Linked DNA regions of Danio rerio. The main gene of each other region encodes a partner of the protein of the gene in region 4 in a complex. Links are inferred from orthologs where the notes say so. Each region holds a gene or a part of one and is shown on either strand. Other genes may lie near its edges.

The links.
Region 1: nsmce4a (region 4) and nsmce2 share a complex: the UniProt entries of both Homo sapiens proteins name them as parts of the SMC5-SMC6 complex. The link is inferred for Danio rerio from reciprocal best matches to the Homo sapiens genes NSMCE4A and NSMCE2.
Region 2: nsmce4a (region 4) and nsmce1 share a complex: the UniProt entries of both Homo sapiens proteins name them as parts of the SMC5-SMC6 complex. The link is inferred for Danio rerio from reciprocal best matches to the Homo sapiens genes NSMCE4A and NSMCE1.
Region 3: nsmce4a (region 4) and smc5 share a complex: the UniProt entries of both Homo sapiens proteins name them as parts of the SMC5-SMC6 complex. The link is inferred for Danio rerio from reciprocal best matches to the Homo sapiens genes NSMCE4A and SMC5.

The regions. Positions count from the first base shown.
Region 1 is NC_133191.1:26,962,794-26,965,817, reverse strand, and holds part of nsmce2 (E3 SUMO-protein ligase NSE2), read right to left. Parts: intron 1,588-3,024; coding exon 1,475-1,587; intron 1,397-1,474; coding exon 1,243-1,396; intron 1,106-1,242; coding exon 1,014-1,105; intron 925-1,013; coding exon 818-924; intron 1-817. UniProt on the Homo sapiens protein: E3 SUMO-protein ligase component of the SMC5-SMC6 complex, a complex involved in DNA double-strand break repair by homologous recombination. Is not be required for the stability of the complex.
Region 2 is NC_133178.1:43,211,199-43,214,772, forward strand, and holds part of nsmce1 (non-structural maintenance of chromosomes element 1 homolog), read left to right. Parts: intron 1-368; coding exon 369-481; intron 482-662; coding exon 663-740; intron 741-1,363; coding exon 1,364-1,510; intron 1,511-3,150; coding exon 3,151-3,267; intron 3,268-3,535; coding exon 3,536-3,574. UniProt on the Homo sapiens protein: RING-type zinc finger-containing E3 ubiquitin ligase that assembles with melanoma antigen protein (MAGE) to catalyze the direct transfer of ubiquitin from E2 ubiquitin-conjugating enzyme to a specific substrate.
Region 3 is NC_133185.1:17,911,695-17,915,268, forward strand, and holds part of smc5 (structural maintenance of chromosomes protein 5), read right to left. Parts: intron 3,538-3,574; coding exon 3,405-3,537; intron 127-3,404; coding exon 1-126. UniProt on the Homo sapiens protein: Core component of the SMC5-SMC6 complex, a complex involved in repair of DNA double-strand breaks by homologous recombination.
Region 4 is NC_133188.1:32,177,714-32,181,287, reverse strand, and holds part of nsmce4a (non-structural maintenance of chromosomes element 4 homolog A), read right to left. Parts: intron 2,400-3,574; coding exon 2,300-2,399; intron 2,216-2,299; coding exon 2,125-2,215; intron 1,729-2,124; coding exon 1,634-1,728; intron 1,548-1,633; coding exon 1,502-1,547; intron 1,411-1,501; coding exon 1,325-1,410; intron 1-1,324. UniProt on the Homo sapiens protein: Component of the SMC5-SMC6 complex, a complex involved in DNA double-strand breaks by homologous recombination. The complex may promote sister chromatid homologous recombination by recruiting the SMC1-SMC3 cohesin complex to double-strand breaks.

The DNA.
Region 1 (3,024 bases), on a different chromosome or scaffold from region 4:
TGTAAAGTGGTTAAATAGGCCTCCCAAAAAACCCAGCTGGATGTTACAGAGTCCAGTCAGGCTATTACAAGCGATACACACACAAAGAGCACCACAGTGGATTTGCACGCTCTCATTCACCCACACACACAAACACATAGAGCACGACAGAGGATGCGTGCGCTCTCACATTCACATTTAGATGCTTTTTTTGGCATGAAAAATAACTGTGTACTCGTCTTGCCAAAGAGGGCAGTAGTGCAAAGCAGTAGGGTTTTATTCAGAAATTTATTTCCGCGCCACAAGAAAACTGGTCAGGTCCCGTGGAATGCAGACCTCTACTACATAGTCCTCAGCACCAAAAATGGGCAGATTCTACATTATATACTAAATAATCTGATGGGTAATTTGAGCTGCGATTCTACAGGCACCTTCTAGAGACACCAAAGTCTTTTTGTACATCTTATAAAAGTAAAATAGGTGTCCATAGTGAGCTGTGTTAACATGACTCAGCTGAACACGCAGGCATTCTTCCTCATGAGCATGTGAGTGTACAGTTAAAAACTAGCCAAGAGAGCTGTCTGCTGTTAAAAAAATAACCTCAGAATTGATTCAAGAAGGAATATCGATGCGTTTTGAAAATCTCTGAATCAACGCAGAAACAATTTCTTGAATGATTTTTCACCACAGCTCTAATTAGTGGATTGAGAAACTGCTAGCTAATCTAAAAAGTTCAATCTGAGAGCACTGCTTTGTTTTTTAATATTAAAACAGGCTGCATGCATTTGTACACTCATTTAAGATGCCATGAAGACAGAAGTGAGCAGTGGTTACATACCGAAATTTCTTCCTATTTTTGTGCTTGTTCTTAATCATTTCAAGCACCGCCTCTTGGTCATAGTAATGATTGCATTTCTTGTTTTTCATTGGATTGACCATCTCAACCTGTCAGGACAAAAAATTATACATTAAAATAACATAACATTTCTGTTTCTTATGTGTTCTCTTTGCATTTAAACACTGCTAGTGTGTACCTGCGTGAGAGGGCAAATGAAGTTCGTCTGGCTCTGTGTTACAGCAATGTCCTCATCCAGCTCTTCCTCTTCATTCTCAGCAGGATTCTGAGCTGTTGCATATGCAAACACATACACACACACACACACACACTTATTAGACTTAATGACTGAGCCTTATTTAGAATTATTGTGATGTGTAAAATACAGGGTCATTTGTGAACATGTTGTGGTCTTTTGGGTTTCCAACCTTGCATGGCATATTTCCTGACTGTCTCTTTGAAAGCAACCACCTTGCTGTGATTTCGCAGGTCTGAATCTGAAACTCCAGCGATCAGCTCAGTGAAGCGGTCCTTTACAGAGCCTCTCAGATTAACCATGGCCTCTGGAGGTGCATGTCTGACCTACAGAACATGTGAGAGACAGTCATCCCGCTGGCTTGGCTGGTGAATGTGGAAGGATTTTAGTTAGATAAGACAGACCTGAGCAGTCATTTCATTAACGGACTCCACTAAACAGTTGATTTCACTGTCTAGTCTGGAGCACTCCATAATCATCTCCCCCAGTTTCTTCAGAGATGGGCTGTTTTCCATACCTGAAATGAAAAACCTTAAAGGGTTAGTTCACCCAAATATAAAAATGATGTTATTGATTACACAAAGTAAGATATTTTAGGTGAAATCTGGGAGCTCTCTTATCCTCCACAGACAGTAATGTTTCCAAATTGTTATAAAAATATCCTCAAAACATATTCCTTCAGTGGTTATTTCTAAAAAAAAAAAAGCTATGATAATACTTTTATGCGCACATTAAAACAAAAATAACAACTTTAATCATGTTTTTTCTCCTCAGTGTCAGTATATTGTACACATACATAAGCACTGTGCACTGATGTATAAGCTACTCCAATGTTATTAATAATAATGTATATTATACATAAGGGTGTCACGATTTCGATTTTAATTGAAAATCGATCGAAATTTATGCTCGATTTCGATTATCAAATCAAAAAATAGAATCGTCGATGCTGCCACGCCCCATGTCACGTCAGCTTGGCTTGCCAAGCGGGAAAAAACACGCTTGTTGAAGTGCTTGTTAAACTGTGCAGACGCAGGAGACCCATCGTCAGAGCTTAAACCATCAGCGCTCGACAAAAAGGACTGCCCGATAGCCCGGAGCCAGTGTGCGAGATGCTCGGGTCAGTGTACAGTGCTGCCTTGTTGACTGACAGATTGAGCCAGAGCTGCGTGCTGCAACTGTCTGTCAATTGTGTGCAAATATAATCTTACGGTGCTTTCACACATAGACGTTTGTTTCGGAATCTGTCTCGTTTCCCCCGTTAGTTTGTGTGGCATATATCCAGCAGTTGCGCTCGCATCCGCGCCAAATCAATCAGTCTGAGATTGCCTGAATGAGACGATCTCTGCCCTATTGAGCGGATGGATTGTAGTGAGAAAACAAAACAATGCAACGAACTAACGACCCAGGCTATATCACAGTGTATTATGATCGTGTAATAGCCATATATACGGCTATATGAAGAGAAAATGATGAGCAGGGCCAGATGTCATTCTTACCGGTAAATGCGAGTGAAAGCATGCTGAAATATTACCGAGAGCTGTTTATAAAGCCTGATCTCGGTTTATCCGTCAGGAAAATTGACCGAAATTACTATCTGTTAATTTTTCTATATTTTAATTGTATAATATGTTGTATTAGGCCCGTTGTTTTGTTCATTTCCGCACTGACAGCTCGAAAGAAAGATTAACATTGATCTGATGCAGTCTCGGTTCATCTGCTATGTCTCTCTATAATTTAAGCCTATCATGCAGAATTCTAGCCAACGTTTCTTTAATAGATTGATTAATTTAATAGATCGATTTTTACAAAACCTGAAAATTGAAATGAGGCTCTGTATATATGAGAAAGTCTGACCTCTGCTTTATATTCGGTGACGATGTCTGTGGGTTGTTAAAATTAAAGTGCACATTTTTGCTTATAAAATATTCTATACACAACTGGTCAAAAGTTT
Region 2 (3,574 bases), on a different chromosome or scaffold from region 4:
TATCAAAGAACCTCAAATAAGCGGATATTATAACAATTTATCAATAAACACACACCTCATTTTCTCGCTGTCCACTCCTGTGATTTGCTGATCAAATGAAAAACAAAAGACAGGGAGGAGATAAATTCTGCCGCCATTTTCATATCAAATTTAAAAGGGTACTGAGGCGATAATTTAGTGTAGTTTATGAGCTAATTTCAAAAGTTTTAGGGGGGCTGACTAAAAATATAGGAGGGTTACAGCCCCCTTAAAATAGGCCTAGCAACGCCCATGGTTGTTTCTATGCCTCATAGCTGCAAACTGAATATCAGCTACTGTATTTAGATACGAGTGCTCTCTTTAAATTCTGTTTCTCTGTTGTATTCTAGGGCAAGAAAAAATTGATGATTTCATCAATGTTGTCAACACTCACCTTCAGCCCCTCTTTATGCATATTCGTAAAGGGATGTCGGAGGAGGATGGCCAGGAACATTTTGTTTTGGTTTGTTAAATCTAAAATACATTTATGTTTAAGGAGAGGTGTTTTTATGTTTTCTAGTGTCTACTCAGTAAATGTGTTAGATATTAATTTTGATTATTGTTTTTGCATACTACTAATATATAATAGTAAAATGACATATGTGTTTGATTTATATTAAGTTAAAACCTAATCTGTTGTTCAGGTAAATATGGCAGAGACCGACATTACACGAATGGCTGCTGATTATGCGGAGAACGAGTTGGAGTTGTTCAGAAAAATAGTAAATACTTATAATATTTGTCAAATACTATTTTATATATTAATATACAAATATTAGTGCATATTGAATACATTTTAAAATTGTATTTTTTTTTTTTGTGATGCAGAAAATAAGTTCTAGTTTGGCATTATTACTTCAGCCTTTAGAGTCACAAGATCCATCACATTATTTTAATACTGATTTGCTGTTCAGTATTGTTATTAGTAGTATTCTAAGTGTTAAAAATTTAATGTTTAATTTTTAATAACTGTGCAGCAAATCCATGTAATTTAACTATTGGAAAGATTCATTTTTAACTGCTGACTATTAATTTATTATTCACAGTTCACAAAATGCATTTTGTATGTAGAATTACTTATTACAAACCTATTTTATTATGGTATAGTATATCTTGTCTCGGCAGTCTGCAGCAAATTGTGGAAATTTGAGTCTGATCTTAGAACTGTTTCTGAATGATCATGTGATACTGGAACTGGGAACTGAATGAAATTTAGCGCTGCCATCACAGAAATAAATTACATTTTAAAATACATTTAAATAGAAAACATTTAAAAAAAAAACATAAAAAACGTTGGTCATTGAATAAATGGTTTCTAATGATTTCCTGTTTTGTCTTTATTCAGATGGATCTGATTGTGGAGTCTGATTCCGGTTCTGCCTCATCCACAGCAATTCTAAATTCTGCTGACAAGCTGATCTCAAAGAAATTAAAGAAGAAAGAAGCAGAGCTAGTCTTAAATAAATTTGTACAAGACAAATGGTTAAAAGAGGTACACTTTATTATTTTTATATATATATATATATATATATATATATATATATATATATATATATATATATATATATATATATATATATGGACAATATCACATGAGTAGCAGTGCGATATGGCTCTATAACGGCACTTGTGGGAGACATGTGTTGGCTCAAGGCCACAAGCCGAGTGCTTTAGTGTCAATATACAGCTATATTGCACTGCTACGAGTGTAATATTGCAATTATACAACAGTTTGACAGCATAATTATGTATATAAAAGAAAAAAATTAAACACGGAGAGTCTCATAAATCCTTTTGTATGAAGAACGTCTTTTCTTCTGCCATTTAATCAGATCTGCAGCATCAGAACCATTGCTGCTTCACAAAGGTCACTTGAGTTAGTGTTTGAACGATTCTCTAGCGTAATGTCTAAAGTGATGACTAAACAGTTGATTTTGCTAATATTTTAAGATTATAAAGCTGAACGCATTAAATGCCATCAGTCTACAGAGATTTCCCAATATCAGCACTACAAGATACAAAAGAGAGAGATTGACTTAATGTCACTTACCAGTTTTATTGCCGTGTTATTGTTTAGTCAAATTTGATAAGCTGTGGTTTGAAATTTATGCTGAGTTTTTCTCATCTAAGGGCTTATTATGCAGTCTCTGTCGCCATGTTGTGGTGGAACGTCAACTGTCTTTGCTCTGCTCAGTATGACAGGCGAACATGCTGAATCTCTGAAATTATAAATATTTAAAACAGGCACTTTACTTTTAAACTGCATAGTTGTAATCTAAAAAACTACATTCTCGCTTAAAAAGCTTCAAAAGTACATTATGTTGTCCAACAGCTGCAATATTTGTCACACTGTAGTGAGTTTATTCATCTGCTGTCCCTGTATGTGGGCGGAGTAATATACTCCGTAATATATAATATAGCCTAAGTATATTATATAATAATATACTTAGTAATATATATATAGGCTGTGTAGGAGCCATACAGTATATATTGCCGATTAGCCACAAGGTGTCAGTACCAGACTATATAACTGTGGCTTCACTGCATGGGGGAAGAGAGCGTTGGTTGGAAGCACACAGTTTTTGACCGTAACTTAATGTAATGTAACTTAAAGTAACAGAGAAGTGTGCATAATAGATTAAGGAAAATTGATGAAGGAATTCTGTTAATTGAAAAATTAAGACGTTGTTATTTGCATCTATTTTGACTACAGACTCTGACTTTTACGCATAAAAAAACTTGCTTGCTCTACCAACATTAGCGGCAATGGAGAGCTACTACAGGCTGTACTAGTGCTGTTATTACGGGAATATTGTATGGCTGTCATCCAATCAAATTTGAGAAGCAGACAGAACTGTTTTATATATATATAGAAAAATATGAACCGTCATTAAGGCACAAACAACTAAAGTAAGCTATTAAAAATTAGTTATTAATACCATTAAATGTTAAAAATTCTCTGCATTAAAAAGCAGTGAGGAATTATTTGAAGAAGATTTACAGTGTCATGGGAGAGCTAATCATTTTGATCTGTACATGTTTTACAGTTTCTATTGTATTTAAATTTATATTTGGCAACAAGTCGCTCTTTTTTCAAAAGCATTATTTTTGTTCTGCTTTTTTCTGCATTAGCAAGATGGTGAGTACACTCTAAGTGTTCGCTGCATTGTGGAAATGGAGCCATATATGCGCACAATTTACCAGGACATGATCAAAGTGTGCTACGTGTGCCACAACATCGCCCTACAGGTAATAAACGAGTAAAGATCATGAACCTTCATTCATGACAAAAAAACAGGCATAAGATTATTTGATTTTTAATTCCAGACATCATTAAAGAACAGTACATGCTTAGTGATTGTTTTTATGTCATACTGTTTCTTGCTTAATAGTGTACTATTATCACTTACACTACATTCAGTGAAATTTATACTGTATTTGTGTAGACCTAGTGACACAAAAGTTACACACTTTTATGCCATTTTCAGACATGCCAAACAAAATGCTTTTCTTTCAGTGCCAGGTATGTGAAAATCCATCATGTGAAATCAAGGTG
Region 3 (3,574 bases), on a different chromosome or scaffold from region 4:
AGTCAAGAACTGTGGTGGTCGCAGAGCCGAGTTACTGGAGACCACATTATTGGAGTAAGCAGACTTCTTCACATTATACCTCTCCTCCGCTGTGTAAATCGTTCTCAACTGAAGGTCTTTGATCACCTGCCACAGGTGTAAACAAGTGTAAACATTAAAAAAATTGTCAATTTACTCACAAAAATTGATTACTGCTTCCATATGTTTGATTTATTTACTTTTCATTAATCAATAAGCAAGTTTAATAAACTAGATTATTAGAACTAAATATTTACAATGAAAACTGCATAGAATGTTCACATGATGCCCTAAATAGCTGTGTTTGGAAATAACGAATCTTACTATAGTCCATGCCCACTATTCTGACCAGTTATATCTAAATATGTGCATCAAGTAAACTGAAGACCTCTCATAAGTAATAAGAGCTTTTTAATAACCCAGTATAATCTAATGTCATTTAATGTATTTATATAGCACATTTATTGTGTATAAATGCACACAAAAGCGCTTCACAATCTTGAGGCCATCTCTGTACCCCCCCCACCCCCCAACCCCCACCTCCCCCCCCCCCCTCTGTGTCCAGCATCAACTTGGATGATGCGACGGCAAACAAAGGACAACAGCATCAGTGTGCTCACCACACCTGATATTGATAGAGTGGATGATTGGGAGGCCATGATGGGCCAAAGGAGAAAATTTGGCCAGGGCACCGGGGTTTGCTCCCCTACTCTTTACGGGAAATCCTATGGAATTTTTAATAACCAGAGAGTCAGAACCTTCGTTTTAGCGTCTCATCTGAAAGACGGCGCCCGTGTCACCTTCACTATACTGGGGCATCAGAATGAACCGCCAACTTATCCAGCATCTTTTTACGCAGCGGATGCCCTTCCAGCCGCAATTAATCTCTGGGAAACATCCACACATAATCATTCACACTCATAAACTACGGACAATTTAGCCTACCCAATTCACCTGTACCACATGTCTTCAGGGCTGATAGTGGAAAAAATTCCTGACCCTGAACTTTTTTTCCTTGCCCCTGAGGTGAGTAGGGGTGGGGGTACTATGTATGCAACGCACTTTTAACACATAACTTGTGGGCCCCTGGGCCCAAATATATTAACAGCCTATGTGTAACCCTGATCATCATTATTGTCAAGTGGCTCTTTTTAGACACATGCCAGTTATGTCAGTGACACATGCCAGTGTCAGTGATCTTGTGACATGTGCCAGTAGGTGTCAGTATAAGCACGTTATAAGCACATTAATCTTATAAGTCTCTTTGCTTTAATATTTAAAAATCATTAGGCAAATGACACCTGTTATCTTACATGCATATATGTTATGAGTTTTCAACATGCATTTTATTATAACTTTTTATAGGATATTATTTAAAATACCTTAAAATGAAAATAAGTTAAATAATAAAATAAATGAATGAATTAAAAACATAGAGAAGTCCATATTGTAGGGAACAAAGGAACTGCCAGGATGCAATAGTATACAGTACAACAGATAAGTGTAACCCCTCCCATAAGCATGCCACAATAAATTTGACTGACATGTACTGTCAAATGACTATATTACGTACGGAAGTATGACTACGAATACATAAAATAAATGCGTTTAAATTAAAACATCGTGGAGTAGCTCAGCAAATAAACTAACTTGCGATGCGATAAATTAGGTTAAATGTCGCTTAATGATTAAATATGGTTTTGCTCGTGTTAATTAATGTCATAAGCTTCGCCGGGTGTCGATGTCACTGCAGTGACATGCAGCGCGACACTCTGAGTGACACAGGTCACTACACATGCCACTAGCGAGTGACACATGACAGTGGAAAAACGGACGTGCCACCGGAAGTGTCACTACACTCAGTGGCATGTGCCAGTGTCATCTGTACGTCAGATGTCGTGTCACTCCATGTTAAAACTGCTACTGTGAATCCGCGTTCAAGCGCACACAATAAGCTAAAACTCGCCCCAAGCACCGGCAAAAACAAATAACAATGAATGTATCGAGGAAAGAGTAAGGACATATCTTAATTATTTATGAATAAACTTATTCTGAGTCAGTGTCGCAAAGATCCTGACTGGCAATCTCCTCTTGGACTCGCCTTTAGAGAGAAGTTCATCTTTACGGATTACATGAAGGAGTTTTTTTGTTTTCGATTTGTTTTATTTCGTTAAGTAATAATTTAAAGCTTTCTATAAATATATTTATTATGTCTGGGAGGCATATACATTTTGCTTCATTTTGTTAAGCGCTCCTGTTCAAAAACCAGACGACAGAAAGCGCATAATTTTGGTTTTCTTTATTTTATAAAAACGCTGTAACGTTCTTTGATGTATTACTCGTACTTTGTGAGCAAAAATGACGGATAACTTTAAATTGCTCCCACTAAAAAAACGCAAGTGATTACTCTGGCGCCTCGATGTCCTGCAAGCTTTTTATAAGCAAACTATGCGCCTAATAGCACACATTCTTTAACGTTTAAGCTACCATTGTTTTATACTTGAACTGTTTTATATCTTTTATTTTAGGCAAGTCGTGATGATCTGAGAAGGCAAACTGATCAAACAGACAACGATGGTCTTCCGCTGGGCGCTGTTCGTTAAAAAAAAACTTATTTTTAACGAATAAAAAATGCTCCAAACGTTTTTCTAAATAAGCCGAATAAAAAACGAAACTAAATATAAACACTTTGCCATTAGGCTACATACAAAACTGACCTCTTTCATAGCTGAAACACTAAGTTGTTTAAGGAGAAGGGGGAAATATATTTTTGTCCCGTCTATTTCTTCACCGTTATTTCGAGAATAAACCCAGCGTAAATATGCAGATGTCATTCCCAAAACATATCAGCGTATATGTGCCGAAAACGAAAGTTTCATACAAATTCTGAATGGATTATAGCCTGGAAAGTGCAAAGCAGCTCCTCTTATTATCACTAAAAAGCGTCACTAATCTTAGTTCATAGAGATCTCACAAAGATCTGTTAAAATTTATAAAGCTCTCTAAATTACACAATTAATCAGTAGCAGTGAGTGAATTCTGTGAATCTAGAGAAATGACAGATCAATATCCGTGAACCTGATTTTTTTTTCCCCGCAGCCACAGTACGCCGGAAATCCGGCGTGGTGCCGGAACGCTATCACCCCTGTGTCTTTGGACTGTGGGGGAAACCAGAGCACCCGGAAGAAACCCACACGAATGCAGGGAAAACATGCAAACTCCGTTCAGAAACGCCAACTGACCCAGCCGAGGCTCGAACCAGCGACCTTCTTGCTGTGAGGCGACAGCACTACCTACGGCACCTCTGCGCCACCATAATGAATTAATTTAAAGTATATTACTCTGCTTTCAGCTATACATCACTTTTTTATCAAAGGAGAACCAACCGATTCAATCATGCCCTTGGTCTTCTCTGTTCCTATTGGTACATCGTTAACTCTGTACTGATGGCATAAATAACTCATAACCTCCTCAGGAGCATCAAACATCTCTCGCAAGTACGAGATGAAGCCGTAAGGCCTGCAAAAAATAATAAAAAAAACATTAAACACATAAA
Region 4 (3,574 bases):
CCCAGCCCTCTTTTCAGAAGAGGGTGAAGCTACAAACACTTACTCATCAGCATAACAGATTTAAAACATGTTACAACTGAAGTTTATTTATTTATTTATTTATTTATTATTGCGAATTGTACTCTGTCTTTTTCTTTGTCCCGCCTTCTTGTTGTTTTTCTGTTGTCTCATAGGCTCCCATACAAGCGTGATCTTGAGTTCTGATTGGCTGCTGGTCAGGGAGGCATGTATAAAAAGGAGCTTCCGGCAGGGTTCGGGGAGCTCATTTCTGCTGTGTTCGGTGCTTGGAGTGGAGCTCCTGGATTTCCCTCACCCCTCTGGCCGACGACCAACAACCATTATTGTACTAATGTTCATACGTTAAAATATTTTGAGAGTTTGAGCGTGTAGGGGTGGCCTGCCTATTTATTTGATTACTTTTGACTATGTTTATGTTTAGGGAGTAAGGTAAGCTTCTTGTATTTTTCTTTAAATAGTTATAGGTAATTTAGTGCATTTACTTTATAGATTCTTTTGTTTGTTATTTTGGCCTGTGGTCACCCTAAAGAGATGCTCATTTATATTAACCACATTTTTCTATAATAAATCTATTCATATATACTCTCAACTGAGTGTCTGAGTTTGGTTGTCGACCGAAGGGAGTCTTTTTGCATTAAGTTTTTGTTTTGTTTGAGAAATCCACCACCCCAACACATTTGTTTTTCTTCGTTTATTATGCCCATGTTGTTTCCCCAAGACTTTGGGCGTAATAAAACAGAACTAATATTATTTTTGTTTAAAACTGAAAATGCTAAAAAAATTGACTCTGAAGAAAGTCGTCTATGGAGACTACGGTGTTCATTTGTGCGTCCTAAAACTCTACATTTATAATGCCTCTTAGTCACTGACATTATCATCCACAGGTATGGTGTGAAAACTTATGCCAGATGGCTGCTTCTTGCTCAGGTCTATTTATGCTAATGAGGTAGAGGTCGTCACTAATAGATGTAGTTTAAAGTGTTTCTGCACTTTTTCAGTTGTGATTATAAAAATATTATTCATTAATTTTTATCATACGAGGCTGGATATACTCATGCACAGTCACCACACAACTTTGTTCAAACTCCTTATAAAAGTGATTTTTGCACAATAGGTCTCCTCAAAGTATAGAGAAATGCTACTTTACTGCATTAACTTAATATGGTTAGGGTTAGGATTGGGGTCAGTTGCATATAATTATGAATTAATTATTTTTATTACAAAAGTAAGTACATGAAACGTGTAACAAGCACACTAAAATAAAAGTGATGCCAAAAGAAATGCTAAAAACAGTTAAAGCGCTCACCCTCCAGCTTTCCTGGCTGATCGAGATGACACACTGATGTCGAATGGCAGCGCCACCAGGCTGTATCTCACCTTCCTCTACTGGAGCTACAATACAAGCACAAATATTACAGCCTGCAAGTACATTTAGACAAACAAACAAAAAAAATACAACAGTGACTTAAGGATGCGATCTAACCTATATAAGGAAGCCCATTCTCCAAGTACATCCTCGCCAGACCATCCTAAAAGTAATAAATAAAAAGTGATTTAATTCGTTATTGTGTGACTTGTGTTGAATGTTCAAGGCCAATGTAGCGTTTAAACTCACTCTAATTAGAAAAGACATGTGGAAGATGTTCTCCACCGTTCGTGAGAAGGAGTTAGGGTCGATGACGAACTCGTAATATGAAATGGGCTCCTCGGCTGTTCCAGAGAGAGAGAGTTTTTGAGTTTAATGCCTTATCAGCTTTTCTGGCTATGTCATGGCAAAAAGAACAGATCAAGTTCACAACATTTAACAAATATTACTTTTCTATAATTATACAAATATTTTAACAATAAAAGGTTATCAACATCATAAAATAATATAAAAAGATAAAATACATTATTATTATTATTATTAATATTATTAATAATAATAATGATAATAATAATAATAATAATAATAATAATAATAATAATAATAATAATAATAATAATAATACAAGATTAAAAAAAATCTAAAACTGTTTTTTAGGGTTTACTTTTGATAAAAAATTGTACAATTTTGGAAAGACTCTGATAGTGGGAAGCTGATAGTTAGCAGCTTAACATGCTTACAGTCATCTCTAAAGTATCTTTGCAGACATCCAAGAATCCTTTCCACCTCTTTCTCAGTTGCCTCCTGGTGAGATTCTTCCATTTTCTTCAGCTGTGATGATAAGGTATTTTTTTAATTTCTTAAAAACAGGTATTTTGGGGAGACAGTCAAGTGTTTGCATTATAATAAGCAGACCTGGGTGGGCATAATCCGTTTCTCCTCTCTGCTGGGCACTCTTCTTTGCCTTTCAACTCTCTGCCGTGGAGGAGGAGGCTCTGCCAAAAATGAGCCCAACCTTGAATATCAAATAACAAAACGTGTTGAATAATAATAATAAGAGACTATAAGAGGTAACTGATTTATAGTTTAAGTACGAAGAGATAACTTCATAAAAATCACTGTAAACTATATTTAAATATTTTTATTTGCACCAAAATGTAAAAAAAAATTACAATTTATTTGATCTGAGACTGTGAAGATAAAAATAATTGTGATATTACTGACCAAAAAGAAATATTAAAAATGAGTTTTAAAACTACATAATGACATCTGTGGAGGAAAAAACAGCAATGTGAAGTCAAAATGATGTCAAAGTTTATGACTTTTCAATTATACAGTTGGTACAGAAAGTATTGCCCAGAGGAGGATCCCCAAACGCAGGTCTGAAAAACTTGTTCAATCTTTTCCAAAAACACTCATGGCTGGTAGGGGTGTAACGATACACCAAAGTCACGGTTCGGTTTGGTTCACGGTTTTGGAGCCACCGTTCAGTTCCTGTTTGCTGTGGGGTTAGGGTTGATGTCATGTTAACAGCAATGCTAAGGAACAATAGATTCACTTAATAACAAGAAAAACTAAACTTTTTTCTTTATTAACTTTGCAATCACATTTTAGTACAGTCAGGATACCCGAGTAAACAACTAAAATTATAAATACCTCCAATATAGACTAGTCAGAAAAAACTATTTTCTTTAGTGCAGCCATCTTAACTAAGTAAACTAAAATTAAATAAATAACTGCAGTGTAGACTAGTGAAAGATCTTCTTCAAAAACACCATAATATCCACATTCTCAGGTGAGAGGCTTGATCTCTGTGCAGACACAGACATGATGGTCATTTTTGATTATTTAAGGTTTCAGTTAGATAGATAGGTTTCTGTTTAAATTAATTTAAAAATATACATATAATGTGTTTGTAAAGTGTTTTTACATGACATATTTACCAGCAAAATACATTGCAGTTGTGACTGAAACTAATGTTAGGGTTGTAGCCGGCTGTATTTTTGCCTCCTGATCTCTCTTTCTCCCATTCCCTCCATGCTGGTCATTTATGTAGGTCCGCCTTCACGACAGCTGATGCCTGTCATTTCTGTAGGTCCGCCTTCATGACAGCTGATTGGTCAGGAGACCGATCTATCATCATTTGGAGAAGTAGCGCGGGAATATAAAAAGCATGTCAGGAAGAGCGGT